Notamacropus eugenii: one gene and its partners. The protein of the gene in region 1 interacts with the protein of each later gene in a pairwise test. Links are inferred from orthologs where the notes say so. Each region holds a gene or a part of one and is shown in the gene's direction. Other genes may lie near its edges. The genes, in order: CEP76, CABP5, C4H22orf39 and KIAA1143.

Region 1 (7,193 bases):
CTTCTCCATCTTTTCCATAAGGCTAGTATGAGACATTTCTAATACTTTGCTAAAATTTAGATAAACCTATAACACTCCCCTGATCTACTAGTACAGAATAAAGTATCCACCTGCATGACTCATTTTTGATGAAGCTATGTAAGCTCATTGTAATCACTGCTTCTTTTTCTACATGTTCATTAAACATCTCTTTAATGATCTATTTGAAAATTTTTCCAGGAATCAAAGTTAAGCTCACTGGCCTGTATAGTCAGTAGATGCTTGTTCTCTTCCCCTCCTGCCCCCTTTTTAAAATTAGAATATCTGCCTTTTTCTAAACCTAGTACCTCAGCCATTTTCCACAATATTTCAAATAATACTGACAGTGGCATAACAATTACATCTGTCAATTTTTCAGTATGGAAGATATAGTTCATCTGGATCAGGTGACCCTAATACATCAAAAGGCAACTAGGTGGTCTCTTACTACTCACTACTTCTCTGGGCCATCAGCACTGTTAGCCATTTTCATCCTTTCATGTCCAGGGCAAAGTTCATTCTCCTCAGAAGAGAAAACAGAAGTAAAATAGGAATTGAGTAGTCCTGCCTGTTCTCATTTGTCATAATTACCATTATTTTGGAACTGTTATCTGTCCTTTGTTCTCGAAGAGGACCAATGACATCAGGAAGGTGATGTCCTGATTTACAGTGAATTGGCTTTAAGTGAGGGAAGGCTGTGCAAAATCACCAGCCTCATCTCTCCTCCAGAGTTATCTGGGTCCAGTGGTAAGATATAGATCAGGATGACCGGAGATGGCCCAAGGTGCAGCGGGAGACCTTGGCCTTTTTAAGCTAAGGTCTTTCCCAGGTCTCAGTAAGCTAGGTAAGACTATTCTGAAACACAGAGATGAGGAAGTGAATTCCAGGTATGATGGGAGAAGGGGAAGAGATGACAGGGTCTTATGCAAACAGAGGTAAAGGACAGAGTCAGAGGAGGGGAAATGCTAGAAGTTCACTTTGACTAACAGAGAGTACATGAAGGAAGATATCATGAAACAAGGCTAGAGTTGCAGACAGAGCCAGAATGCTGAAAGCTTTGAATAGCAGGTAAGGAGTATATATTTTACCCAAGAAACAATAGGTTTTTGAGCTGGAGAGTAACATGATCAGCTATGCTTCAGTAAGATTATTTTTCATTGTCTTTTCCCCTAAACCCTCTCCCACTTCCCTATTACTGTCCAGGGTAACACTATCTTCCCTCAGGCTCACAATCTAAGAGTCATCCTCAGCCCCATATCCAATCCGTTGCCAAGGTCTGTTGATACTATCTTTGCAACATCTCTTGAATCCATCTCATTCTGTCCTCTGACACTGCTGCCACCCTGGTCCAGCCCGTTATCATCTCATACCTGGAGTACTGCAACAGACCACAAGTCTCTCTGTACTCTATTTCACCTTACATCTAGCCACCAAAGTGATTTTCCTAAAGTGCCAATCTATGTCAAACTCCCTTCTTCGCCCCATCAATAAATTCAAATGGCTCCCTGTAACCTCCAGGGTCAAACACAAAGTTCTCTGGTGTTCAAAGCCCTTCATAACCTAGTTCCTACCCCTATTCCCCACACTTTTTCAATCTTCTTATACCTTATCCTTCCCCTGCCCCACCAAATACTCTTCAATTCAGTAACACTGGCCTCCTTATTGTTCCACAAACCAAAAACTCCATCTCTCAGATCTGGGCACTTTCTCTGGCTGTCCTCTATGCCAGGAATGCTCTCTCTCCTCATCTCCACCTCCTGGCTTCCCTGGCTTCCTTCAATCCTAGCTAAAATTCTACATTCTCCAGAAGCCTTTCCCAATCTCTCTTCATTCAAATGCCATCTCTCTTTAAATTATTTCCTATTTACCCTGAATACAACTAGTTTGTACATATTTGTTTGTTTGATCACTCCCACTTTTAGACGAGTGCTTCAAAGGCAGGGACTGCCTTTTCCTTTCTTTGTATTCCTAACATTTAGCACGGTGACTGGCACACAGTACAGATGCTTATTAACCAACTGACATTATTTTGGCAGCTTCGAGGGACAAGATTGAAGAGGGTAAAAGCCTGGATACAGAGAGACCAATTAGAAGACATTAGTACAGACAGAAGACTGAACTACAGTAGCAAAAAATCAAGCAATAATGAAGAGAGGGAGACAAATAAAGATATTAGAGCCGGAAAGAAGCTTAGGGATCATCTAACATTGGTGCTCCCCTATTCCCACTTTATAGATGAGGAATCTGAGGTCTAAAGAGCTCAAGTGATTGACTTAAGGACACCAAACTAACCCAGAATTAGGGCTCTTTCCACTCTATCCTCCTCCATCAAGGATTGGGAAGCATGTTCAGGTAGCTAAACTGCTATTTAGAAGGATCTTTTTGCCTCTACCCAAGTGAGATGATTATCCTTAAAAACCAATTTTATAAATACAAGTCCAAGCATCTCGATTCAGAGTCTAAAGACTTGGGTTTGAATTCTGGTCCTATTACTTACTACCTGAAAGACCTAAAGGAAGTCACTAAATTTAGCTGCTTCTTAGCTTCCTAATATGTAAAATGAGAAGATTAGACTGGATGACTTTTATCATCTCTTCCAGTTTGAAATCTTATAAGCCTATATCTTATCTTCCTTCTTATGAAACAGCTAGTGACAATTATGGAAAAGAAACAGAAAAATAACTTTTCTCTCTGTCTAGGAACTTAAGTGGACATTATATTCTATTGGGAAAGAGAGAATAAAGAGCAGGTACCTCAAAACGTAAATACAAAAAAGATATTAAAGAAATTTCAAGGAGAGAGTAATTAGGGGTGGAATTCAATAATGACTTTTTCAAGGAGACAATACTTGAACTGAGCCTTGAAGGAATACAGGAATTCCAAGAGGAGGGGTTAAGGAGAGAGCATAAATAAAAGGAAACTTCAACAAGTGGCTAATGTAGAAGGGCTGTGACAAATGAATAAACAAAATGAAAACTGTCCAAGGTGACCTTTTTATTTCCTCCTTGATATGCATGGTATATCACATACAGGGCTGGATTTGGGAATAAGGAAGACCTGAATTAGAATCCTGACGTTTACCAGCTGTGCGACCTTGGGCAAGTCACTTCACCTCTCTCACCCAGTCTTTTCTCTGATCTGTAAAACCACTGAACTCGCTGGGCTCTAAAGGTCCTTCAGCTCTAAATCTGTGATCCTAACTAAGACCTGCAGGTGAGCTTGACGTAGGGGCTGGAAGCTGTTCAGGTTGCTTTAGTCATCAAAGCCCTTAATAATCCGGCTCCTTTCCACCTTCACAATCCTCTTTAATTCATTAAACTCCCCTCCATTTCCTCTGAAGTCCTGGCCGTCCACCGTTCACAACTCTCCATCTCCCAGCAGTGCTCTCCCCCACCCGCCCTCCATGGCTTTCCTGATTACTTTCGAGTCTCAGCCGAAGTCCCACCTTCTAGAAGAAGCCTGTCCAGTCCTCCTCCATTCTAGTGATGGTCCCCCATTGTTCCTGGCCAAATCTTCAGTACATGGTTGCTTGCCTGTCCTCTCCCCTATTAGACCCTAAGCTTCTGGAAGGCCGGGCCTATCTTTTGCCTTTCTTCTTTCTTCGCATGCCCTGCGCTCAGCATAGGGCCTGGCACACAGCAGGCGCTTAATAAATGCCAGCTGACGGACTAGCCCACGGCTCACAGGCGCGTGCAGGCCCCGTACCAGGTCCTGGGTCCCACCTCGGCACATCGCGCCCGCAGAGCCCCGCTAAGGCGGAGAGACTCACCATCAGCAGGGTGAAGCCAGTAAAGTCGGGCTCTGACGACCCGCAGGGAACGAACATCGTCACCCCGGAGGCAGAAAGCCGGACAAGAGGGAGAATTACGAGGTACAACAAAAGGCAATCTGTTCGCAGCGCGCCAGCTCTGCAGCCCCTGGACGCAGCTCCGGGCTCTAGAGGAAAGGGGCGGGGCGGGGCGGGGTCCTTCTTCTCCGTCGGCGCCGGCCCGGAGCAGGACTATCCTAGCCAAACGCCTGTCTCGCTCGTGGCCAGATCTTGCACTGGTGGGGAGAGGATCCCGTCAGGGGAGGTGGATGGCGGAGGTGGGAAAACTGAGGAAAGCCATGTGGGGAGGAGGGATTGGAAGAAGAAGGCGCGAGCGAAAAGCAGGCAGACAGGAATCAGGCAGTACGGCGGGCACCCTCGCACCTTTTCTCTCCGCCGCAGTTTGAAAACAGTTGCGGCCCGCTCCTGTCGCCTGGGTTGCGGACGTGGTTCCCGCCCAGAGTGGGGCGCTTACGCGGCCGGGCAGTCTGCGCGGGGAGGCGGCGCGCGGCCTGCCCGGGGTCCCGGCTTAGCGTAATACCTCGGGGCGCGGCGGGCGGGTCGTTTGGAGCTCCCGGCGGGAGAGGAGGGAAGGGGAGGGGAAGTGGCAGTGGAGCCGCCGGCTTCACCATGTCTCTGCCGCCGGAGAAAGCGTCTGAGCTCAAGCAGCTCATCCACCAGCAGCTCAACAAGGTGAGGGCAGCGGCCCGGGGCGCGGGGCCTGCGCGCACTGACGGTACCCCGGGGCAGGCGGAGGAGACAGCCACCTTCGCCCGCCTCCCTGCGGGGCTCGGCCCGCCCGAGGACTCTTCTCTGGCCGCTTAAAGAAAGGTCTGCGCCCGGCGAGGACGTTGGGAAGGTTGGCGATTAGACCTCGGGAGGAACCAGCGCCCTCGAGGCAGCGGGAGCTGTCCAGGGCAGCACTGCGAGCCCCGGGGATGCGCCCGCTGGGGCTGCGGAGGTCCGGGCTCGGGGCAGGTCTGGCCTGGGTTTGCTCCCACGATCCGAGGGGGATCCAGGCCCTCCGATGTTTACTGGGCAGAAGTGCTCGTTTCTCTATTTCGGTAACTGTAAGAAAGTACAGGGAGAGGTGCGATTGCACATCTCATAGAAGGACAAGCTTTCTGGGCAGCATGAAATACATAGGCGCAAATTATGCGTAGGTATTCATATTATGATATATGTTTGTGTATATGTGGAGGATGCCCCCAAAGTCAGAATGAGTTTAGGAACTCTCATTTTATGTGTGTGCATGTACATATGAATGTACGTTCACATACACATACATCCATGCCTATGTACAAACACAGGATCAGTTTTTACTGGTCCTTAATTTTCTGCAAAGAGTTATTTTTAATAGAGCCCTGTTATTAATTATGAAAAGACCAAGGCAGATACACACATACGCATACACTTTCCTAATGTGGATCTATATGATTGACGTTTTCTGGTAAACTTTTGAGTGTCTGTTGTAGATAGAGACCAATGTGTACTTAAAGAACATCAGATTTATATGGTCATGCTGCCGAAGTTTTGGCAAGTACTGAAAGCTGGAATGAGCAGTGCAGCCCAGAGATAAAGGCGAAAACTAGAACTTGAAAGTATCTGCCTTCTGGTCAGAGAGATTAAGGGAGAGATGCAGCAGCATAGGCTCGTTGGGGGCAAAGAAACATTAGAAAAGAGGTAAAGAGATCGCTTGAGGGTGCTGCCTTGGCACTAGAGGAACAATTTGGTGTTTAAGATGCTGAGTCAAAAGAAAGGATGTTTCAATTTTCTGAATACCAGTGGGGAAATTTTGATGAAGGTTCCAAGTAGTAAAAGATAGTAAATATTTCCATTAACTAGTATTAAACTTTAAATTCTTAAAAAGTAAGTGATAGAATCAGTTTTTATTATTGCTTCTTTTTTTTTAACCAAATTGTTACATAGTCTATTTATTATCAATGTGGAAAGGCCAAGATTCAAACTTGGGTGTTTATTCTATATTTTTTCCACTTATTTTTGCTTTACTGCTGTATATCCCTTTGTAAAACCAAACCTGTTTATTAGTAATGTTTAACTATCATTATATCTATTGAAAATTTATGGGTTGCTATATAGAAGGGAAAAAATATAATGTTAAGTTCTCTATGTAGATGGATGTCCATGGCAGGATAAGAGAAGTCCTTGCTGAAACTATACGAGAAGAATTGGCACCAGAGCAACAACTTTCAACAGAAGATTTAATAAAAGCCCTTAGACGCCGAGGTATCGTAGATGATGTCATGAAGGAGCTCACTTTTGTTAGTGTAAGTAATCTTTTAGAAACAACAACTCTGTAAATACATTGGAACCTTACTATAACACTGGACCATCCAAGGTTCATGTTAAGGAGTTGCTCTGTAGGTAAAACCACCCTAAAAATCTGTCTTAGCATTTTATTAACTAAACATCCTTTCTTTAGTTAATACTTACCTATAATGAATTCTGCTTTATGGTAAATAGTATTTTAGTGTAGTTCCACAGTATTGCTATTGGGTAAAAAAATTCCCATCTCCCAAAGTGATACAATTTTTTATTTTTATCCTTCAGACATGTTTATGAAAATGGTTGTGTTTTAGGCAAATTAGTTTAGCATCGCATCCTGGAACAATTCTTATACTTTTTTTGTTGTTGTTTCTTTGGCTGTCACACTCACCTAACTTGCTCTTTTAATAAAATTATAACAATCTCTCATCACAGGCAAGCCTTCCCTGAATTCTTATGTCTTTAGACTTGAACCTATTACTAACTTAGTCTGACCACTACATATTTTTCATTTTGATTCTAAAATGACTTTACAAACTTTGTAAACCAAAGATCAAGCTATAGTCCACTTTTTAAATGAGTTTAGCTGTTGACATCAAACTCCCTTTTGTGAAACAGTCTTAGTAACTAAAAATAAAGCTGTTCATTTCTTTAAGTAAGAATAATTCAGGAACTGCTTTAGTACTATAAAATCAATTGGCAAAAATAGGTCATTTAGTGATATAACAAATTCCCAATGCAATAGTGATGGTGACCAGACCTCTTTTGTAAAAATAAGTCATAAAATGAGAAACTGTGACCTAAATTACTTGGTAATGTGTTAAAGGAATTGAGATGATCTTGATAATACACCAGAGACTAAGTACTTTAATACAACTTACTTTTTTGGTGACTAAAACTAATGAACCCATTTGTTGTAATTAACCTAATAACAGTTCCTACTGCATAATTGTCACTACCTCATTAAAATTAGTTCATAATAGGAAAGGTATCAAAATTCTCTTTGTAGGGTGTATAAAATTTAAATGTTATTCCAGAACTTTAAGACTTAATCATTATGCTGGTTCATAAATAAACTAGG
Region 2 (6,900 bases), on another chromosome or scaffold:
CTGGGTTAGCACTCTTGGCTGGGCGTCTCCAGTAGCAAAGCAGTACTTCCACCACCCCTCAACTAGGAGCTTACACAGAGGTGGGCTGCATGTCAGAACCACAGCCACAGACCTGGGAGGAAATGAATTTTAACTCTGCTGTCCTAAAGCTATTGGAAGAGTGGTGTCTGTCCATGGTGTTTAATGCCTCCCATTCCTTCCCCCAATCCAGACAACCAGACTAACCATGCCCACTGATTAGCTTGACTGAGAGGAAGAAAAGGGCTTTGTTGTTGAGATGACAAGCATGTTTTAAGCACCTATTATGTGCCAGCTGCTGTGCTAGCAGTGGTTAGAAAGCTCCACCCTTCCACAAAAACCCTTTCCTAGCCCACCTTTCTGCTACCTGCCCCCAGCCATGGGGGCACTTCATCTTCCAGACTTAATCCAAATGCTGATTTTGATGGTTTTTAGCTATTGCTTTATAGGAGGGTGAGGCAATCACAAGGGACCCAAGAGTTTGCCCTTGGATCTCTGAGCACCAATTTTTGGCCTGAGGTAAAGAAAAAAAAACTTCTTAACAATTAAAGGTAGACCAAAGTAGAACAAGCTGCCGTGGGAGGTGCTGGGTTGCCTCTTTCTAGACAGAGGTCTTCAAGCAAAGAATGAATGGCTATTGTTGGAGATGGAAAGGGGCTTCTATTTAAGTGCAGGATGAATTAGGTGGCTTTAGAGTTCCTTCCAGTACTGACAGTCTGTTCCATGAAAGGACAGAGCACTGGTATGTCCTTTATGCCTTCCTTTTCAGAGAAAGATGGAAAACAGGTTGCATTGAATGTCATTTTCTGGCCTGGCCTAACCATATTGCTTAAGGGCCCTAGAGGGAGGTCAGGTCCCCTGAGGGAGTCTCTGGGGATTAGAGATCAGATCAGAGTCATGGATTGAATCCAACACTGTACACTTCTATTGCAAAAGATGTAATGACAACCTTTATCCCTTCATACCTCCATCTCCGGTGAGATAGAGAGATGATGATTGAACTGGAATCAGAAAGGATTTTTGTTCCCTCCAACTCCATGGAAGTCTCCTCTAAACTTGTTCTAAGGAGAGATATTGGGTTCCATTTTATACTCCCAGGGCTTCCAGTTTGTCTTCCCAATCCAAAAGATTTCTTAACCAAACAAGGGATAAATAAAATAGATAATTTTGCTTACATGAAGAATGGAAATTGAAAGCCTGGGAAAAAACTTTGCATCACATTTCTGATATGGATCTGGTAGTTAAGATAGTTAGGGAACTAGCAAATAAAAGAGTAAGAGGAATTTCCTCAGTGAAAAAGTTCTCAGCACCAAAGTCCTTGACTTGAGTCAATGGTTTAACATCAGAAGCATATATGATTTATTAATAAAAGTGACATTAGAAGAGATGCCATCATGCACCAAGGACCACAGAATTCTTCCATCTGACTTGCAGCTGCAACTCCTACAAATGTGCTCTCCCTTTGGTAGGATGTGAATTCAGTGAGGGCAGAGCTGGCTGGCTTTTCTGTTTGTGGAGCTTAGCACAGTCCTAGAGTGGATTTTGGTGAGCTTAAAGCTGTGTGTTGAGAGCTGACATAACTGACTCCATTTTGTCCTATATTTACAACTTTTTGCTAAGTGATGCCTCAGCCTGTGCTGCAGGGACAGTTTAAAGCAACCTCTCTTCTTTAGCATTTCCCTTCCTCTAATTGCTGTATGTCTGAAACAGAGGACTCGGAGGATTTGGACCATTCAAAAAATTGACTCTTCTTTATCTTACCTGATAAATGAGGTGTTATTCTCTTTGAATGAGTGGGAATGTCAATGCTAACAAGGACATGTTCCTTCCCTTGTAATTAGTGACAAGCATCTTCTCTACTGACTGAGTACATCTCCTAGTTTCTTACTCTTCTCTGGCTCCAGTAAGGACTGGGGATATGAAGAAAGGCATAAAATAGTCCCTGCTGTCAAGGACCTTACAATCTCATGGGAGAAACTATGCAAACACCAATGTACAAACAAACTATACACAGAATAAGTTATGGGGAGGGGAATCAAGGAGAACCTTCTGGGCCTGGAAAGGTGTTAGCATCCATATGCAATGGAGGAAACCAAGTCCCTTTGAGCAGCACTGAGTTATCGCAGGGGATGATGGATGGAGGTAGGTCAAGGGCTTTACTTCTAGCCTCATACAGCTGCTGGCTTTTACTCAAAGGGCCAGTGATCCAAACACCCTCATGTCAGCTTTTCTTACCCAGTACAAGGGTTAGAACTGGTCCCTGCTAAAGTCAGGGGTAGCTGCTACTGCTCTCTTGACCCAAACCTAATGTTTTTCTGTACAGTCCTGGGTGACCAGACTAGCCTCCACTTGCAACTCCAGTATTACACATTCCTCTCTCTTCTCCCTGTTTCTGCCAAACTTAGAGTCCCAGGATAGAGACACACAGAAAACTAGAGAAGATAGCAAGACACAGAGAGGGACAAGGAAATGAGGATATAAGGAGTTACAAAATGAAACGTGGATGGAAAAATCTAGACATAGCCTAAGACACTCAAGAGAGACAGGATGATATGGGGAGACAGAAACAGAGACAAAGACAGCCTGAGGAAATGGCTAAAGAGCCAAATCAATCAAACAATACATCACGTATTTATTAAACACCTTCTGGGTGCCAGGCACTGTGCTGCCTACTGGAAATACAAAGAGAAAGTGAAACAATTTCTGCCTGCAAGGAGTCTACATTCTATGAGGGAGATAACATCTACCTCTGGAAGTATATATGCCCTGAACAAGTCCAACTCAATGCAAGATAGTTTAGGGAGGGAGAGAGCTAACAGTTGGCAAGGTCAGTTAATGCTTCAGGTAGAAAAATAGTGATTGACTGAACTGGAAACAAAGTTGATGACAATGGATTGGGAAATGGCTAGACAAACTGGTCAAGGAATGCGATGCAGTATTACTGTCTGTAAAAAATGGTGACTGAAGAACCTAGAGAAGTGGGGAAAGGCTTGTATGAACAGATGCAGCAAATCAGTAGAATCATGATATGACAATGTCCATGGAAAGAACTACAACAGCTAAGCAACTGAAATGGAATCTTGCAAAATTCTGATAAATTTATCCCCAAAGAAGGAATCTGAGAAGGCACTTTTTGCAGAGGTGGAAGCCTCTCCCCATCTCTGCCTCTTGACTTTCCTGACTTTCTTCAAGTCTCAGCTAATGATCCACATTCTACAGGCCTTTTTGGTCCCGCTTTACCCTTAACGTTTTCTCTTTCTTGATCATCTTTGATTGGTTCAATATGTGTCTTATTCATACACAGTTGCTCACATCTCACCTTGCCACTGGGACCTCTGCAAGCAGAGATTTTTTTCACTATTTTTTATCCCTAGTGCTTAGCACAGTGCCCAACAACACATGGTGGGTGCTTACCAAATGCTTCTTGACTTGAATCATGCTGTATCATGTCAGCTATATGATATTTTGGAGAAGGGGAAAGGCAAAAAAAAGAAACATTTATGGAGCACTTACTATGTACCTGGAGCTGTGCTGAGTGCTTTTACAAATGTTATCTCATTTGATTCTCACAAAAACTCTGGGAGGTAGGTAACTTATTATCTCCATTTGACAAATGAGAAAACTGAGACAAACAGAGGTTAAGTGATTTGTTCAAGGTCACCTAGCTGCTAGGTATCTGAGTGGATATTTGAACTTAGGTCTTCCTGACTCCAGGCCCAGCACCCTTTACACTGAGCTACCAGCAACTTCTATGCTACTTGGTTTTACAAAAGTTTCCCTCTTCCTCTTTTTAAAATTCTTTATCATAAAAAAGATGGCTTTCTGAGGGAGGTAATTGAATAAGAGTTGTGAGTTCTATGGAAAGAAAAATTGTCAATAAAATTTTAAAAATGAATATAATGCTTTATTGGAGTCTTGGAAGTCTTAGGATGTATTGGAGGAGTACAGACAGGGGAGACAGCTTGGGTGAAGGCACTGGGGAAAGAAACAAGGAATCATGGGGAGAGGAGAGAGAGCCAGAGAGAGACACACACAGACACACACACACCCAAAGAGAGAGGAAGAGAGAGAGAGGGAGAGACAGAGACAGACAGACAGACAGACAGAGACAGAGAGAGACAGAGAGATAGAGAAAGAGAGACAGAGACACACACAGAGAGAGACAGAGACAGAGAGAGAGGAAGTGGTATAGAAAGATCCCTATGGGAGACAGGGACAAAGATGCAAAAGAGACAAAGAAACAGAGAGCCAGAAGTGACAGACATAAATAGAGATTTGAGAAAATAGAGTGACAAATGGCCCAACAAGGAGAAAAGGACCAGTATCAGCATTTCTATTTCCAGATGGAACATCTGGCTCATTGTGTCTGTCTATCATGACCATTGCCCCTAAAAAGGCCTAAGATGCCCCTGCCATAGGGCATCTGGTCATTGAGGTCCTAATTGTTTAGGCTGGGAAACTGATGCTACAAAAAGCCAGCCCGTGACCTGCCTAGGATGATTTGGTGGGTCCATGCCCCCGATTCTTCACACACTGTGTCCCTCATGCCCAGTTATAATTGCTCTACCCAGGAATTCCCTGCCACAAATCTGTTCTGGGGATAAGAGCCAAACTGGGATGACTTCCTGCCCTGCAGCAGATGGAGAGGCCAGGCCCACCTGTCTCTCTCCTCCTCCCCCAAGCCCCAGAGGAGCCTGGGTCCCAACTGTCACTCTTCTTCTCCCCCCTGCCCCAGAAGAAACTGTGTCCCAGCTGTCACCCACTGGATTCAGAGACTAAGACTGAACAGAGACAGAAGCAGAGACAGAGACAGAACAGACTGAGGGAAAAGAGATAAAGAATAGAGAAAGAGGGAGAGATATACAGAAACAAACAGATTAACCCACCAGAAGACAGCTCAGAAAGACAGCAAAGAGGAGATACAGAATCTGAAGGGACCAAAAACAGAGAGAGAGAGAGAGACAGAGAGAGAGAGAGAGAGAGAGAGAGAGAGAGAGAGAGAGAGAGAACCATAAAAAGAGACAAGAGGAGGGCTGTGAGCTGTGAGACCTCTGCAAGATCCTGCATCCTGTTCCCTCTTTGGCCCCATGCAGTTCCCCATGGGACCAGCTTGCATCTTCCTGAGGAAAGGGATTGCGAAGAAACAGAGGGTGAGAAATGGATGGGGAAAAAGGAAAGAAGGAAGGGAGAAAAGATAGAAATGTAGATCTGGAAATGTAAGGCAGCTCAGAGGCCCTCTAGTCTGGCTCCTTCATTTCATAGATGAGGAAACTGAGGTTCAGGTAGATATAATGGAATATTTGTAAAGAAATATTTGTAGAGTTTTGCAAACCTTACAACACTATGCAGATGCTTGGTATTACTAATAGAAAAACTTGGCCAAGATCTCACAGGTAATAAACAAGAGAACGAGATTTGATCTCAAGACCCCTGATTCCAGTAGTCTTTCCTCTGTCCCATGCTGGAAGGAGATGGAAGAACTTGAGAAGAGAAAGGAAGCAGAAGGAGGTAGAAAGTTAGGGGGAAAGGCTAGAGGAGAAGGAAAGCTTAGAAAAGCATGAGGAAGAGGACTGAGGAAGGAGGAGAAAGCAGTTATAAGGAGCTGGAAGAGGAAGAAGAAAGTTGAAGGAAAGAGGTCAAAGAGGAAGGAAGTAGGTGGATGGCAGGTTGGGAGAAATTCTCATCCAGGTGAAGGAAAAGGAAGGAAGTGGAAGAGGAAAGAAGGAAGATGTTGTCAAGGAAGGAATAGGAAAGAGAAGATGGGGAGGGAGCAGAAGCTGGATGAGCGCTGAGGGAGGGGTTGGTGATCCCAGCAGGGGCTGCCAGGAAAGAGGATGTGCATGAGAGGGTATGAATGGCCTCCAGCTCCTTCTTTCAGGACCCTGGAGAGAGCCTGAGGGTCACTGAGTAGTCCTGAAAAGGATCACTCCTGTCCCTGCATCTACCCATCACTCTTTCCTCCTGTACTTTCTTCAGGATCGTCCACTAGGACCAGATGAGATTGAAGGTAACCTCCTTGCCCTTCTCCCTCCCCTGTAGTCCCTCTGAAGCAGCTCCATCAGACCCTCTTCTCTTGCCATGTTCTCCTTACTCCTACTCTAACTGCTGTCAAGGAAATGGTTTCTTGCGATAGCTTATCCCCACCACCAGTTCCCCCAACTCGGTCTCTCCTGGTAGTTTCAAGTTCCCATTCACTGGTGGTATTTCCCCAGAAATTTTAAGTCCTGTAATTTCAATGATTTTCAGTTCCCATTTATCTAAATCTACCTCCATGGCAGTGTCAGGAATTCCCAACTGTCTTTCATTGACTCTGGGAATCTCACCCCTGCCCACTCCTGGCTAGTTTTCATCAATGCCTCTTTTAGAGGCCAAGTCCTGTTCCCAGGAGGAGATCTTGCTTTCCCCCACTTTGTTGGTTTCCAGGCTTCTTATAATCTCCTTCCCATTTCCTGACTTTCTCCTAGAACTTCGGGAAGCCTTCCATGAGTTTGACAAGGATCGAGATGGTTTCATCTCCTGCAAGGACCTGGGAAACCTGATGAGGACTATGGGTTACATGCCCACTGAGATGGAGCTGGCCGAGCTGGGACAGCAGATCCGAATGAACCGTGAGGGTTGGGGTGGAGCAGGGGAAGATGGGGAGGGCTAAAGACAAAATGATGATACTCTTAAATTTCTACAGCTCTCAAAGGTTTTCAAAATGTTTTCCTATCAGGTAGACAATGCAAGTATAGTTTTCGCCATTTGACAGATGGGGAAACAGATTCTGTGAGAGAAATGGTTTATCCAGAGGTACACAGCTAGGGAAGTGGAAGAGCTGAAATTCAAACCCAGGCTTTCCAAATTGGAGTGCAGGGTCCCTTTTATGGCTCTTGAGGGAGA
Region 3 (7,095 bases), about 220 Mb from region 1:
AATCTCTTGACTTTAGTTACTAGATTTGTCAGGGACAGAAGATATTCACCAGAGGATATTTCATGACCTGCTGTTCGTTTCCTTTAGAGTTTCTTAAGAAATACCTCCCCTGCCTAGCCCAGGAAGCTTCAGGACTTGGTGGCAGTGTGCTTTCTGGGAAAGGACCAGCCAAACTGAACTGTCTCCAAGTCACCAAGGCAGCAGGCAAGCCCTCTGCACCTGCCCCCAGCAGCTGGGGGGACCGAGCCCTCCATTGGCTCGGTCTGGGCCATGGGTCCTTTATCTCTGACTAACGTGGTCGGAGAAGGACAGCATGGTCCACACCTAGAGGGGCCAGGGACCTTCTGTCCATTGGTCCTCTCTTATCCCCCACCTAGAAATGCCATTCGATCCACTCTGTGCCATGGACCACAGTGGTCACCCTAGAAAGGGTTTCTTCCTGGTGTTTTCTCTTGATTTGTCCAAGCTACAGAGCCCCCAGAAAGAAGCTAATAATTGGCGGCCCCTTCATTGTCGAGGCTGACAGTGAAAGTCATTGTGTTCCCTTAATAAATATGTTCTGTAGCAACTGCCTCCAATGCTTGTAAAGCCTTGGGACACCAAACATGGGAGCTGAGGTTTGCTGAGGTTTCCCTGGGTTCTCGTCAGCATGGTCAGTGTGGCTTTATGACTGGCCTGACTAAACATTCTGGGCCTCATTCATGCTGGCTGGACAAGAGGACTGACTGCCATATTCTAGATTCTCCAGTTCATCTGGACTTGGGTCTTGGCTTTCTTTGCTTTTTTCAAAAATTTTATTTTGTATCCCAATTATATTAAAAAAGCAATTTTAACATTCTATTTTTTCATATTTTGAGTTCCAAATTTCTTCCAGCCCTGCAATTTGACATAGATTGTATGTGTGTAGTTACGCAAAGCACATTTCCATGCAAGTCATTCTGTGAAAGAAAACAAAAAACAAAACCAAAAAATAAAGACGGTAAAGAAAAAGCACCTGTCATCTGCATTCAGGCTCCAGGTTCTTTCTCTGGAGGTGGACAGCACCTTCACCATGAGGCCCCCAGAATGGCCTGGGGTCATTATATTCGCAGCGGATCGCTGCTACAGTGTGGCCAGTACAGTGTACAATGTGCTCCTGGCTCTGCTCGCCTCACTTTGCATCAGTTCATGCAGGTCACTCCTAGTCTTTATGAGATTTTGGTTTTTTAGCCATACTATTCCTTAGCACAACCGTGGGGTCTCCAACATCCTGGCCCAGCTCTTTGAATCCCTCTTTGGAAGGTTCCTTCGGAATCTGCATTCACAAAGGAGAACAGGGAATCCTTGACCCCTGCGCCACATCAGTTTTATTTCTGCCAGTGATCTCTTAGGAAGTGCCCTGCTGTGTGCCAGGTGAGGGGCATTGCATAGCACATAGTCATGCTTTGTCATCCAGTGGCCCCAGCCACTGAAAGAGGCCACAGAGATTACAGAGAGATTCTTTTGGACCTTCCAACTGTGCTCAGTTCCTTCTAGCTCCTGATCGCTGGGCCTGGCCTAATCCTTGCAGCCAAGCTTGGCCATGTTAATCAAGTGGGGTGGTGACCTGCTCTTGTGCTTTTCCTTAAACCTCTGCCCAAAAGAGAAGGGAACAGCTGAGCAGGCCCACGTGTAGGGAGAGCACCAAAGGTCTTCATGAGTAGGGACAATGTGCCCCTTACTCATTAGAGGACAGCAGATGGCAGCATGCACCTTCTTGGAGTCCTGAGTCCTGGTGCTGGAACAGATGATCCCATCTCTAAGTTGGGGCCCAAAGAGGCCTTGCTGGGGTTCTGTGTTCAAAGCTAAGTGGAGCTGAGAGTCTGCAGTGAGACCCCCATGGGAGCCAGAGGCCCCTCAGTCAACTGGAGGCACCTGCCCCTGCTGAAGGACAGTGCTCCCTGGCCTGCAGGCTTTCTAGGTGGCAGCCTCATTCAGGAGCTTTGACTTAACTGAACCTTGATGATTAGATAATGAAGAACATTGCCATAGCACCAGGCTGGTTCCTCTTTCCTCTAAGCTACATTGTTTGTGTGCCAAGGCAAGCTTTAGTGCCCCTCATGGAGGCCTCTGTCATTGTCACTAGAGAAGGCTAGAATGAGGAGGGATTCTAGCACCTCCTCCTCGCTCTGATTTTGGCATCCTTAGCCCAGTCCTGCTGTTCAGTGCCTTAGAAGCTTGGAGAGGTCACCACCATTCGGCCTTGATTTCTTTGGCTCTAGAATGATTGCCAGCATCCCTTCTGACTTAACGCTGTGTTTTTTCTCCCCAGCCTTATGTTCTTCATCTGTAAAATGGGAATCATCAGGACTTGTCCAAACTGTACCCAGTGTGGAGTACTTTCAGATATGCTTCTGAGAGGCCCCCTAGCACTAAGCCAAAGGGGTCTATTAACCTGGGGTCTATGAACTTAATTTTTTTTCTCTGATAACTATTTCAATGGAGGGGCAGTGAAGTGGCACTGGGCCTGGAGTCAGAGTACCAAAGCTCAATTCTAGCTCAGACACGTGCTAGCTGTGTTTTCCTGGGCAAGTCACTTCACCCTGTCTGCCTCAGTTTCCTCATCTGTAAAATAAGCTGGATAAGGAAACTCCAGTATCTTTGCCAAGAAAACCCCAGACAAGACCCAACCGTGGGCAGTCAGGCCATGTCCTTAGCCATGTCCCCAAGTAGCGTCTTTGTCTCACTCTGCCCCGGGTTCCATCAGCTCTGTCTGGGGTCAGGGTCCTCTGGAGCCCCTGACAGTCTCCTTGTTTATTCCAAGCTGGCTCCCTGTTTCCACGGCCATCACTGAAGCCAGCCTTTCCCTAAGGCCTGGAGATTTGTCACTGCTCCTGCCAAGGTCTCCACCCTGGGCGGGGCGCAGCAGCTGTCACTACATAAGCCCATTCTGCAGAGGAGAAGGCTGAGGCTGGGTCCAGGTAGGGGATGCCCGCAGCTGGTCCGAATTCAGGCCTACCTTCCAAGGCCGGCTTTTGGATCGGAGGGGGTAGGGGGGCTCATCTGATCCAGCCCCCTCCTCTCTAGATGAGCTGAAGAGATAGAAACAGGGGCAAAAGGGGCCATTAGCTAGAGTGCTGGACTTCGCTGTCAGGGAGCCGGGCACAGGACTCCCGACCGCCTCAGAACCACAGACCGCTAGCCTCGCTCCATGCCCCTGCCTAGTGGCACTGAGTGAGAATGCCCCCCATCCTGATGCCTGGGGAGTGGGGGTGGGGGACACCCTGCCCAGAACCAGAATCTCCTCCCCGCGAGGGGGAGGGAGGAGAGAAGCTCCTACTGTGTGCCAGGCACCGTGCCAAGTGCTCTTTGCGGGGAGGTCTCAACCCGCAGGCTGGCCAGGAGCAGGGGAGACACCCGGGTGTAAGCAGTGCATCCAAGCTGGGGGCATTAGCGGGACCCTCGTCCTCACCCACAGCCCACTGAGCTCTGCGCCCCTTGAGCGAAGGGCGGCCCCGGAGCCTGGCACGGCGTTGGCACATAGTAGGTGCCCCATGATTCTTACTGACAGACGCACGTCGTGCACCAAGTAAACGCGGGGGGATCGGGGGGCAGGGGTGTGAAGGGAAGGGGGTCAGGACGAGCTCTGCGTGAAAGGCGGCCCCGGAGCCTTGAAAGAAAGCAGGCCGAGGTGAGGAGGGAATCCCAGGCATCCGGGACAGCCAGTGCAAAGGCTCGGAGAGGAGAAACGGAGCGTCCTGCGGGACGATTCAAAGGCTAAATCCGGAGGGGAAGAGACAAAGGGGGAGGGGGGAGGGGACGCCCCCTGTTTCTGGAAGAAGGAAGAGTGAGCTCCCCGTCAGACCCAGTCTTCAAGCAGAGGGGGAGAGTTCGGCGGGATGCCAGCGCACGGAACGGACACGATTCCTGGGCCCAGTTAAGTCTCCGGTTCCGAGGCTGGGCTCGGACCCCAGACCCGCAGCAGGCGCCTCAGCCCAGCTCGGCGCGGGGCTCCCCGGGGCAGGTGAGCCCTCCAGCCCCGCCTCACCGGCCAAAGGATTGGCTGCTTGGATCTGGGAGCTCATTGGTTCGTGGGTCTGTCCATCACTCCGCAAGAGGCTTAACCCCTCCTATTGGCTGATACCCTGAAGAGGCGGGGCGGGCCAGGAGCTGCAAAATGGCCGACCCTGAAGAGAGCTTGTGGAGGGTTCGTGAGGGCGGACGGGGGTGGCTTCAGGGGCCGGGAGAGGGATCAGGAGCGAGGCTGGGGCAGGACGAGGGCCGGTGGGGAGGCCGGACAGGCCTGGAGGCTGGGGGAGTCGGGCCTAGGACTGGAGGCTGGGGGCGGGGCCTAAGGGCTGAGGGGCGGGACTTAGCTGTGCAAGAGAGGAGGAGGGCGGCAGGGATTGGGGAGGGACAATGGGCTGGTGGGAGGAGCTAGGAGGGAGGAGGGCGTGGCCAGGTATGAGGAGGCGGGGCTGACAGTTGAGGTGAAAAAACTTGAGAGTTGTCGGGACCGGGAGAAAAAAAAACCTAAAGGGAGGGCCCAAACCCTAAGTGTGGGAGTGACTGTGGATTGTAGGGGTGGAGATAGAATGCCACGGATGGGCGGGGCTAAACTTGAAGGGGCGGAGCCCATGGAGCTTGTCTGAGACGGGAGCTTCCAATAAGGCTAAGGAGCTCCAAACTGGAGGTAAGGTAGTGGGCGGGGCCTACCTGAGGTGAGCGTGGTCGATGCTGGGGGCCTGGCCTTGAGGCTGGGGGCGGGGTCAAGAGGGAAACTGACAAGTTGAGGGAGTCTGAGAGGACCTGGGAAGAAAAGCCGGCTATCTTGAGTCTTCAGAACACTTCCTTGGATTCAGCCAACATTGGGAAAGGACCTACTGTGTGCCAGCCACTGCTAGGGCTGGGGATAGAAAAGCAGAAATATGAAATCATCTGACTTTGAGGAACTTACCGTCAGCTCTGGGAGGTCCGGAGGCCCCAAGTCATTCCTGCAATCCCACTGCAGGCGTTTGTGGCCAAGATTCAAACCCAGAACTCTCAGCTCTTCTGTGACTGCATATGGAGGGCCCCTGAGACAGGCGGGGAGGAGCAGCCCCTGGCCACACACCCCCTCTATGACCACCCTGGGCTGGGACCCTCGTCCTGAGCCTCCCTGGTGTCTGCCTTTCCCCTCTGCAGCCTCCCCGGAGCTGCGAGGATTACTGGGCTGAATGGAAGCACTGCCGGACGCTGAGGAACTTCCTTCATCATTACTATACCTACGGGGAGACCCCGGCCTGCGCCCAGTGGAAAAGCGATTACCAACACTGCCAGCAGTGGGAGGAGAGCGGGAGTCCCGAGGCCAAGGTATCCCGGGCCAAAGTCGGGATTTGGTTAGCCCATCTATCCTGCAGAGAGCCGGGGAAGCCCCGGGTGGGAAGGTCGCTGTGGGGAGCAGGGGCAGAGGCCCTCGTGTTGGGGGGCAGGGACTGTGGGGAGAAGCCCTGGGGAGTGGGTCTGGGCCTTACCTTCAGCTCGGGCAGGGAGGGGATCAGCCAAGGAATGGGACCCCAGGACTGCTTGAAGAGCTCAGCAAGCCTAGGGCACTGAGGATAGATCAAGGATCCTAGGGTGGGGACACCTGGCGTGGGTGAATCTCGTCTGCACCTGAGCGGTGGGAGCTCAGTCACCCAGATTCACAGAAAAGGGGAATGTGAGCCTCCTGCCCTGGGCTGTGACATGAATGAATGACCGTTTAGACCAGTGAAACATGGGTGGGAGGGGGATGGAAAAACCAATGGACCCACCGGGAGTGCAGCAGGGCTGAGGCTGGGGGCTTCCAGGCATGGGGGCAGCCAGGGAAGGGGCTTGGAGAAGTGAAAGGGCCCAAAGGGCCTTTTTGTGTCCATAGCCCCAGGGCTTGGGGGGAGGGTCTGCAGTCTTGAGAGGGGAAAATTGGGAAAACAGATGCAGTGATGGTGGGCCATCTGCCTGTCTAGCACCCTTCTGGGCAGGAGGGGTGTGAAGGTTCTAAAGGGGCAGCTGAGCAGTAGCCGAGCCCCAGTCCCGGGGCCACTTTAGGGGCCGATTTTACAGATTGCATTCAACTCAGCACTTATTAAGCCCCTTCGGTATGCCAGCTTCTGGGGATACAAAGACAAACACAAGCCCAGCCCTCAGGGGGCTTATCCTCTAGAAGACAGTGAGGCTCAGCAGATTGCCCCTGGTCACCCGGCTGGCAGTGTTAAAGCCGACTCTCTTGTGCTTCTGGACACACCCAGAAGGCCCGGGTCCACAAGGGCCCTTAGTTAGGGCTGGCTCTCTGCAGCCTCCCTGGGAGGTGCTTCTGGGAAGCAGTGAGACCCTAGGCCTTCAGGCGGGGCATAGAACCGGCCTCTTGTTTGTACAGGAGTCCCTCCGCAAGAGCGAGCAGGCCCGAATCCTGGCCAAACAGAAGCATCCCCCAGTGTGGACCATGAGGCAGAGTCCCCCCAGGGACTGGCACTCGCCTCTGCCCGGGGAGGAGAAATCCCAGTGAGGGACCATGTGATGGAGAAGATGGGCTGACTTCATCAAGGAGTGAGTGGACCTGACCCCACACCAGCCAACAGCTTCTCCAGCTCCCCTTTCTGCCTCCTGCTCTCCATGCCCAGCTAGCCAGTCCATCACCTTCAAAGACTAGGCACTGCCCAATTGGCTGCTGATCAGCACATTCTTCAGATGGCAATATATATGGTTCCCTCTCCCCTACCACTGGGAAGAGGGAATCCAGAATACCAGGGTCTTGTGCTCTGGGGACATCAGGTTGCTCCCCCTCACACGTGTGTGAAAGGTATGTTGGGCCTCTAGTTACCTCTAGGGCACCTCCTGTCTCGGTCCTGCCATGATGCTGGCTTGGTCTGCCTGCCCCGCTCTGGTCAACATGCCCAGCACCTGCCGCTGCTCTGTGGGGTACTTGTGGCTCCCTGCCTGTGCCATGCCCTGGCCTGTCCACACAGGCAGCAAGTGAACCTAGGGCCCATCTAGTCCCTAGGGACACAGGAGGCCAGACTAGACTGCCAGGCTTTGCTGATGCCTACCCCCACTAAGGGGGGCGTACGCACTTCATGCTCCAGAGGAGGACCCTCACAAAGGGCCAGGCTTTTCACAGCA
Region 4 (7,993 bases), on another chromosome or scaffold:
TGGTAAACTATATACTGCTAAAAGGCACCATAGACAATGAAGCAATATCATTATTAAACATATACGCTCCAAGTGGTATAGCATCCAAAGTCTTAGAGGTGAAGTTAAGGGAGATGTAGGAAGAAATAGACAGCAAAACTATGCTAGCGGGGGACCACAACCTCCCCCTCTCTCAACTTGATAAATCTAACTTCAAAACAAACAAGAAAGAAGTTAAGGAGGTGAACAGAACTCTGGATAAGGTAGATATGATAGATCTCTGGAGAAAACTAAATGCAGAAAAAATGGAATACACCTTTTTCTCAGTGGTACATGGCACATACACAAAAACTGACCATGTACTAGGCCATAAAAGCCTCACAATCCAGTGCAGAAAGGCAGAGATAATCAATACATCCTTCTCAGATCATAATGCAATAAAACTTATATGTAATCAAAGGCCATGGAAACATAAACCATAAACTAACTGGAAACTAAACAACGTAATCCTAAAGAATGAGCGGGTTAAACAACAAATCATAGAAACAATCAACAACTTCATTCAAGAGAATGACAGTAATGAGACAACCTACCAAATCTTATGGGATACTGCAAAGGCAGTTCTTAGGGGAAGTTTTATATCTTTGAGTGCCTACATGAATAAAATAGAGAAAGAGGAGATCAATAAATTGGGCATGCAGAAAAAGCTCAAAAAGAGCAAATTGAAAATCCCCAAGTAAATACCAAATGAGAAATACTGAAAACCAAAGGAGAGATCAATAAAATTGAAATTAAGAAAACTATTTAACTAATAAAACTAGGAATTGGCCTTATGAAAAAACCAATAAAATTGATAAACTTTTGGTCAATTTGATTAAAAAAAAGAAAACCAAATTATCAATATCAAAAATGAAAAAGGTGAACTCACCTCCAATGAGGAGGAAATTAAAGCAATCATAAAGAAATTACTTTGCCCAACTGTATGCCTATAAATTCGACAATCTAAATGAGAAGGATGATTATTTTAAAAGATACAAATTGCCCAGACTAACAGAAGAGGAAGTTGAATATTTAAATAACCCCATCTCAGAAAAAAACATTGAACAAGTCATCAGTGAACTCCCTAGGAAAAAATCTCCAGGACCAGATGGATTCACAAGTGAATTCTATCAAACAGTTAAAGAACAGTTAATTCCAATTCTATATAGACTATTTGGGAAAACTGGGGAAAAAGGAGTCCTCCCAAATTCTTTTTATGATGCAAATATGATTTTGATACCTAAACCAGGAAAAGTCAAAACAGAGAAAGAAAATTATAGACCAATTTCTCTAATAAATATAGATGCAAAATTTTTAAATAAGGTTTTAGTAAAAAGAATATAGCAACTTATCACAAGAATCATACATTATGATCAGGTAAGATTTATGCCAGGAATGCAGGGCTGCTTCAATATTAGGAAAACTATTAACATTATTAATCATATTAACAACAAAACTAACAGAAACCACATGATTATCTCAATAGATGCAGAAAAAGCTTTTGACAAAATATAACACCCATTCCTATTGAAAACACTGGAGAACATAGGAGTAAATGGAACTTCCCAAAAAATAATAGGCAGTATCTATCTAAAACCTTCAGCAAGCATTATATGCAATGGGGATAAGCTAGATGCATTTTCAATAAGATCAGGGGTGAAACAAGGATGTCCATTATCACCACTATTATTTAATATGGTACTAGAAATGTTAGCTGTAGCAACAAGAGAAGAAAAAGAATTTGAAGGAATTAGAATAGGCAAAGGATAAACTAAGTTATCACTCTTTGCAGATGGTTTGATGATCTACTTAGAGAATTCCAGAAAATGAAGTAAAAAAACTACTTGAAATAATAAACAACTTTCGCAAAGTTGCAGGTTACAAAATAAACCCACACAAATCTTCTGCATTTCTATATATTTTACCAACAAAGCCCAACAGCAAGAGATAGAAGGAGAAATCCCATTTAAAGCTATGGTAGACACTATAAAATATCTGGGAATTTACCTGCCAAAATAAACCTGGGGACTATATGAACACAAATACAAAACATTTTTCACACAAACAGTCAGATCTAAGTAAGCAGAAAAACATCAGTTGCTCGTAGGTGGGCCGAGCCAATATAATAAAAATGACAATTCTACCTAAATTAATTTACTTATTCAGTGCCATACCAATCAAACTATCAGATAATTATTTTGTAGAGCTGGAAAAAATAATATCAGAATTCATCTGGAAGAACAAAAGATCCAGAACATCAAGGCAACTAATGAAAAGAAATGCTAGGGAAGGTGGCCTAGTTCTACGAGATCTCAAATTGTATTATTAAGCAGCAATTATCAAAACCACTTGGTACTGGCTAAGACACAAAAGGGTAGACCAGTGGAATAGGTTAGGTACCCAAGACACAGTAGTCAACGAATACAGCAATCTATTGTTTGATAAACCCAAGGACCCCAGCTTCTGGGATAAAACTCATTGTCTGACAAAAATTGCTGGGAAAACTGGGTAATAGTATGGTGGAAACTAGGCATAGACCAATGCCTGACACTGTATAGAAGAATAAAGTCCAAATGGGTACATGATCTGGGTACAAAGATTGATATTATAAACAAATTAGTGGAACAAGGAATAATGTATTTATCAGATTTATGGAGAAGGGAAGAACTTTTGATGAAATAAAGAGATAGAAAACATTACGCAATCCAAAATGGATAATTTTGATAAAATTGAAAAGTTTTTGCACAAACAAACCCAATGCAACCAAGATGAGTAGGGAAGCAGAAAACTGGGAAAGAATTTTTGCAACTAGTATCTGTGATAAAGGCCTCATTTCTAAAACATATAGAGAACTGAGTCAAATGTATAAGAATACTAGTCATTCCCCAATTGATAAATGGTCAAAAGATATGAACAGGCAGTTTTCAGAGGAAGAAATCAAAGCTATCTACAGTCATACGAAAAAATGCTCTAAATCACTATTGATCAGAGAGATGCAAATCAAAACAACTCTGAGATACCACATCACACCTATCAGATTGGCTAACATGACAAAACAGGATGATGATAAATGTTGGTGAAGATGTAGGAGAGCTGGAACACTAATTCCCTGTTGGTGGAACTGTGGGCTGATCCAACCATTCTGGAGAACAATTTGGAACTATGCCCAAAGCGCTACAAAAATGTGCATATTCTTTGACCCAGCAATAATGCTTCTAGGACTGTATCCCCAAGAGATCAAAAAAATAGGAAAGGGTCCCACTTGTACAAAAATATTTATAGCAGCACTCTCTGTGGTGGCCAAAAACTGGAAATCAAGGGAATGCCCATCAATTGGGGAATGCCTGAATAAATTGTGGTATATGAATGTAATGGAATTTTATTATAGTATAAGAAATGATGAACAGAAAGACTTCAGAGAAGCCTGGAAAAACTTATATGAACTCATGCTGAGTGAAAGGAGCAGAACCAGGAGAACTTTATACTCAGCTACAACCACAGTGTGCAAGGATTTTTTCTGGTAGGCTGAGAACTTCACTGCAATGCAAGGACTTAAAAAATTCCCAATGGTCTTTTAAGGCAAAATGCCTTCCACATCCAGAGAAAGAACTATGGAATTCTATTGCAGAACGTAGCAGATCATTTTCTTTTGTATTATGTTTTGGTATGTCTTATGATTTCTCCTATTCATTTTAGTTCTTCTATGCAACATGACCAAGGTGAAAATGTATTTAATAGGAATGTATGTGTAGAATCTATATAAAATTACATGACGTCTCAGGGAGGGAGGGGGGAGGGATGGGGAAAGGAGGATGGAGGAGGGAAGGAGAGGCAAGGAGGGGTAGGGAGGGGGAAAAATCAAAGTTATATGGAAGAGGTTGTACAACGCTGAAAACAAATAAAATAAATTTTAAAAAACCAAAAAATATTGATAGGATTCTCATAAGCAAAAGCTCTTAGAGCTTCTCAATAGTTTTCAAGAGTATAAATGGGTGGTGAGACTAAAAAATTTGAAAACCACTAGTCTAGTGGTCACCTGCCTCCTGCAAACTTCCCAGAGAAGTTGTGATCAAATTCTGTTTTAATTTGTGTTTCTAGCACCTAAAGCAGTGCCTTTTATCAGGCGCTTTATGTACATGTGTTCAATTGAATTAAGTACCTGTGAACCTACAACAGATAGTTTAGTGAAAGCATTTATCAAGCTTAATAACAATATTTTAAAACTCTACTTTGCTTCCGTTTCCTCATCTCTAAAAAGAGAAAAACAGTTCCACCAACTTAACAACAAGAACAAAGTGTAACAGCCCTTTCAAGATGTCAGATTTAGACCTAAGGGTTCAGCAGTTTCTATTCTGTCATTTTTCAAACGAGGAAAACTGAGTCAGAATTCACAACCAGGACCCAGCATCCCATATTTAAGGCTGGAAGGGACCCCTTCATTTCACAGGTGAGGAAAGAAAAACAAAGGAAAATGAAGACTGGTAATCATGATAATCATTAAGGCATTTCTGTAGCAATTACAGATTTGCAAAGCATTGTAAATATATTTTTTTATTGGTATACATGTTGATACATCCATATCTTTCATCTGATTATTGGTCAGTCGGGCCTGAGTCTTTGTGACCCCATCTGGGGTTTTCTTGGCAAGGGCAGTGGAGTGCTTTGCCATTTCCTTCTCGGGCTCATTTTACAGATGGGGTAACTGAGGCACACAGGCTGCAGCGGCGGATCTGAACGCGCGTCCTCCTGACTCCGCTGGACCCTCCACCTAAGCACCACGCGGCTGATCAGCGTTACAAGCCTCAGATTATTACTCGTTACGCATTCTATATTACACAGGGTCACGCATTCCGTAAAACACCGCGTCACTGCGTTAATTACAACCTAATTAACGGGGCGGCCACGGTAGGAGGAGCCTGGGAAGGTCCCTCCCCTCCTCCCCCCCCCCCCCCCCCCGGGGGCTTCTGGTCCAGGCCGCGTCCAGCGGGCCTAGGTACCCCAAGTGGGGATCGCAGCCTCTGGCAGCGACGAGTCTAGGATCCCTCCTCCCCAAACCCGTACACACTCATTCACTCACCTTTGACACCAGGTGCCATCACGCTCCCGCTCCCCAAACGTGAACCCCAACCCCGGGTCTAAGGGAGAGCGGAAACCTACAGTACAAGCAAAATGGCGGTGTGTTTGAATTTGGCGCTAGGCGGCCGGAAAGGGGCGGAGCGAGCACGCCCCTGGAAGCCTCGATGGGAGCGCCATGGAACGGGCGGAAGTCAGCGGAAGGACGCAGGGCCCCTATCACGTGTCGAGGAGGTACCGTCGCGGATGACGAGTCCTTGGCCCCGCCCCCGGGTACGGAGGCCGGCGTGGGAGGAGGCGTACTCTCGCTTCCGGGAGACGAATAAGATCCGGGGCCCCTTTGCCTGTCTCCATCCCCGGCCGCTTCCTCGCAGAGAAACCATGAGCAAGCGAAACCAGGTGTCATACGTGCGTCCGCCGGAGCCCGCGTTCCTGTCCCGCTTTAAGGAGAAGGTTGGCTACAAGGAGGGGCCCACCGTAGAAACCAAGGTGAGGAGGCACTTGTCCCGCCCCTCGAGTCGCTAAGGAAACTCCGCCTGGGCCCCTTCACTTCCGGTTGCTCCTGCGCTCTGGAGTCTGGCCCAGCCCTGTGGGCTGTTGCGCATTTCTCTTCCCCAGCCGAGGTAGAGCACCCCGTCTCGGAGCGAGGGCAGCGGGGGGAGGGGGAGGCTTGGAGTGTGAATCACGTGCAAGACTCGAGTTCGAGTCTTTCCAACGACGCTTCCTGGCACGGGAGCCCTGGGCAGGTCACTCACTTTGCCGGTGTCTACCTCAGTTTCCCCGTCTGTAAAGCAGGGATAGATTAGCACCCCCCCCCCCCGTTCCCCTCACGTTTATCAGGATCAGAAGAGATACTATGATGCGCGCAAGGAATCTTGCAACTGTAAAAATGTTACATAAGCTTTGGTTATTGTTACATTGTTACTGTCACTCTTGCTTGAGGGCGGGTCCCTCACTTCTTAGTGGTAACAGTAACAGGAAAGGGGCCCCGGATATTATGTGGCACTTTAAGGTTTGCAGAGGGCTTTACAATTGTCATCTTATTTGAGCCTCACCACTGCTTTAGAAGGTCCGCAGCACTGTTATTCATCCCATTGCCACATAAGGAAACTGAGGCCAGCAGGCAGAGGTTGAGTGACACACCCAGAGGCACACATCTAGTGAGGGTCAGAGGCTGTATTTGAATTCTGGTCTTTCTGACTCCTGGCCCATTGAGCTGCCTTGCCTTCTTGGGGGGTGATTGGGGGGCAGGGAAGGCGAGGGGGACAGTGTCCTTGGGGGGAAAGGGGCGAAATTTGGACCAGTTATTGCTCTCTGAAGCTTAAAGCGTTGTCTGCAGGATCTGAGAAGCTAACTGACCTGCTTATGGTCATGTGGCTGATTTGTGTCAAATATAGGACTTGTATTTGATAGGCGGTAGTCAGAACTGTAACTAGTTTGTTTTGCCTGGCCAGCAGCAAAAATTAAAATTTTTTTAAAAAATCTACTTTCAAATTAACTTTTTCCAGAAAAATTTAGTTAGGAAGTTGAGAACCTGGAACCCAGAACAAGAAGGTTAGACTAGGTGCTCACCCCAAACTTTTAGTGTTTTAGTCCTGTAAACTTAAGTGATTTGCCCATGGTCACACAGCCCCCATGCGTAAGAGACAGGACTTTAACTGGGGTCTTCCTGACTATTCTCTTACCCTTGATCCTCTAAAGCTGCTAAGAGGGCAAGGGTCTCTCCTTGCATACTGGATCAAAATGTCTCAGGAGGAGAGAGTGAGGCTGATGACCTTGCACAGCCCTCCCTCACTCAAATCAGTTAACTGCAGTTCATGTCATCACTTCCCTGATATCATGGTCCTCTTTGAAAACAAGGACAAACACAACAGCCCTTGAGCCACGCTGAATTTCATCTAACTTCAGGAGACAATGTACTTAAAAACTACATTTGTGATAGAGACTCAGTACTGAGTAGGATGGGAATAGTCAATGACAATTCCATAGAGGAAGTAGGAGTAGTCCTGAGGCCTTGAAAGAGGTGGAGAATTTCAGCTATAGGGAAGAGGGAAAGACACCTCTACTCAGGGGCATGATACAAGCAAAGATGTAGAGGCCAAGATGGACATAGGTTTTAAGGCAGTAATTTCAGTATTCTTCAAGACGAGAAGTCTTGAAACCCCAGTATCTCCAAATAATCAAATGTGTAACCAGTGAGCCAAAGGGGAAGGGAGAGATACACATGGCACAAATTGACTGCCTCTTTTTCTGACTGCCTTCTAGGAAATCTTTCTGAGCAATTCTGTGATGGAAACCAAAGCTACAGAGCCATAATAATTAAAATTAATAATATTCACCATTAAGAGACTTTTTCAAAGGACTCTATAGTCCAGCAAGTAGTCAATCTAAAGCCAAGGACCCTTTTAGTGAGATTACTGGCCTACCACGAATATGGCATCATTTTGAGTTATTTTCCCATTCGTGGTTTTGCATTAATCGATTCACACCATTCCCATCTTTCCTAGTGGCCAAAGGCCCAGCTTTTAGGATTGAAAGGAATCTGTCTCTGGATGACACCTGAAACCTAATTGGCTCATGTGAGGATCTAATGCTCAACCTTGGCATTAGTATCAAAGAACTCTAACCATCTTCCCAGCTACCCAACTATAGACTGACATAAAACATCTGAGCTAAGCATCATCTCTTCACATGGTTCAATGTAAGCCACCCACCCACCCACTGTAGGCTGTTTAGTCAGATCTTTGAGTAAAGACATTTCTCAAAGGCTGGAAGACAGATGTTCCCTTGCTGTAACTCAATTTAAATGAAAATTCTTTTTTTTTATAACAGCCCAGACAGTCTTAGAGTTACTTCATTTTTATATCTTTCAACGTGGCCTGGGTATTGTATAGATTATTAG

Evidence for each region.
Region 2: the proteins of CEP76 (region 1) and CABP5 interact in binary tests that used the Homo sapiens proteins (3 or more experiments, as listed by UniProt). The link is inferred for Notamacropus eugenii from reciprocal best matches to the Homo sapiens genes CEP76 and CABP5.
Region 3: the proteins of CEP76 (region 1) and C4H22orf39 interact in binary tests that used the Homo sapiens proteins (3 or more experiments, as listed by UniProt). The two-hybrid records come from large-scale screens. The link is inferred for Notamacropus eugenii from reciprocal best matches to the Homo sapiens genes CEP76 and C22orf39.
Region 4: the proteins of CEP76 (region 1) and KIAA1143 interact in binary tests that used the Homo sapiens proteins (3 or more experiments, as listed by UniProt). The two-hybrid records come from large-scale screens. The link is inferred for Notamacropus eugenii from reciprocal best matches to the Homo sapiens genes CEP76 and KIAA1143.

Annotation. Positions count from the first base shown.
Region 1 is NC_092875.1:229,708,288-229,715,480, forward strand, and holds the start of CEP76 (centrosomal protein of 76 kDa), read left to right. Parts: upstream 1-4,191; 5' UTR 4,192-4,456; coding exon 4,457-4,519; intron 4,520-4,567; exon of another isoform or gene 4,568-4,657; intron 4,658-5,961; coding exon 5,962-6,114; intron 6,115-7,193. Other genes in the region: PSMG2 (proteasome assembly chaperone 2), read right to left, coding at 3,788-3,844. UniProt on the Homo sapiens protein: Centrosomal protein involved in regulation of centriole duplication. Required to limit centriole duplication to once per cell cycle by preventing centriole reduplication.
Region 2 is NC_092876.1:11,222,936-11,229,835, reverse strand, and holds the start of CABP5 (calcium-binding protein 5), read left to right. Parts: upstream 1-3,888; 5' UTR 3,889-5,105; coding exon 5,106-5,168; intron 5,169-5,994; coding exon 5,995-6,025; intron 6,026-6,482; coding exon 6,483-6,626; intron 6,627-6,900. UniProt on the Homo sapiens protein: Inhibits calcium-dependent inactivation of L-type calcium channel and shifts voltage dependence of activation to more depolarized membrane potentials. Involved in the transmission of light signals.
Region 3 is NC_092875.1:12,019,948-12,027,042, forward strand, and holds the start of C4H22orf39 (synaptic plasticity regulator PANTS), read left to right. Parts: upstream 1-4,076; 5' UTR 4,077-4,135; coding exon 4,136-4,165; intron 4,166-5,142; coding exon 5,143-5,310; intron 5,311-6,352; coding exon 6,353-6,481; 3' UTR 6,482-7,095. UniProt on the Homo sapiens protein: Negatively regulates long-term potentiation and modulates adult synaptic plasticity. Stabilizes the interaction of RTN4 isoform A/Nogo-A with its receptors, inhibiting clustering of postsynaptic AMPA receptors at synaptic sites.
Region 4 is NC_092874.1:43,554,265-43,562,257, forward strand, and holds the start of KIAA1143 (uncharacterized protein KIAA1143 homolog), read left to right. Parts: upstream 1-4,989; 5' UTR 4,990-5,091; coding exon of another isoform or gene 5,092-5,114; 5' UTR 5,115-5,187; coding exon 5,188-5,580; intron 5,581-7,993. Other genes in the region: kinesin-like protein KIF15, read right to left, coding at 5,096-5,114.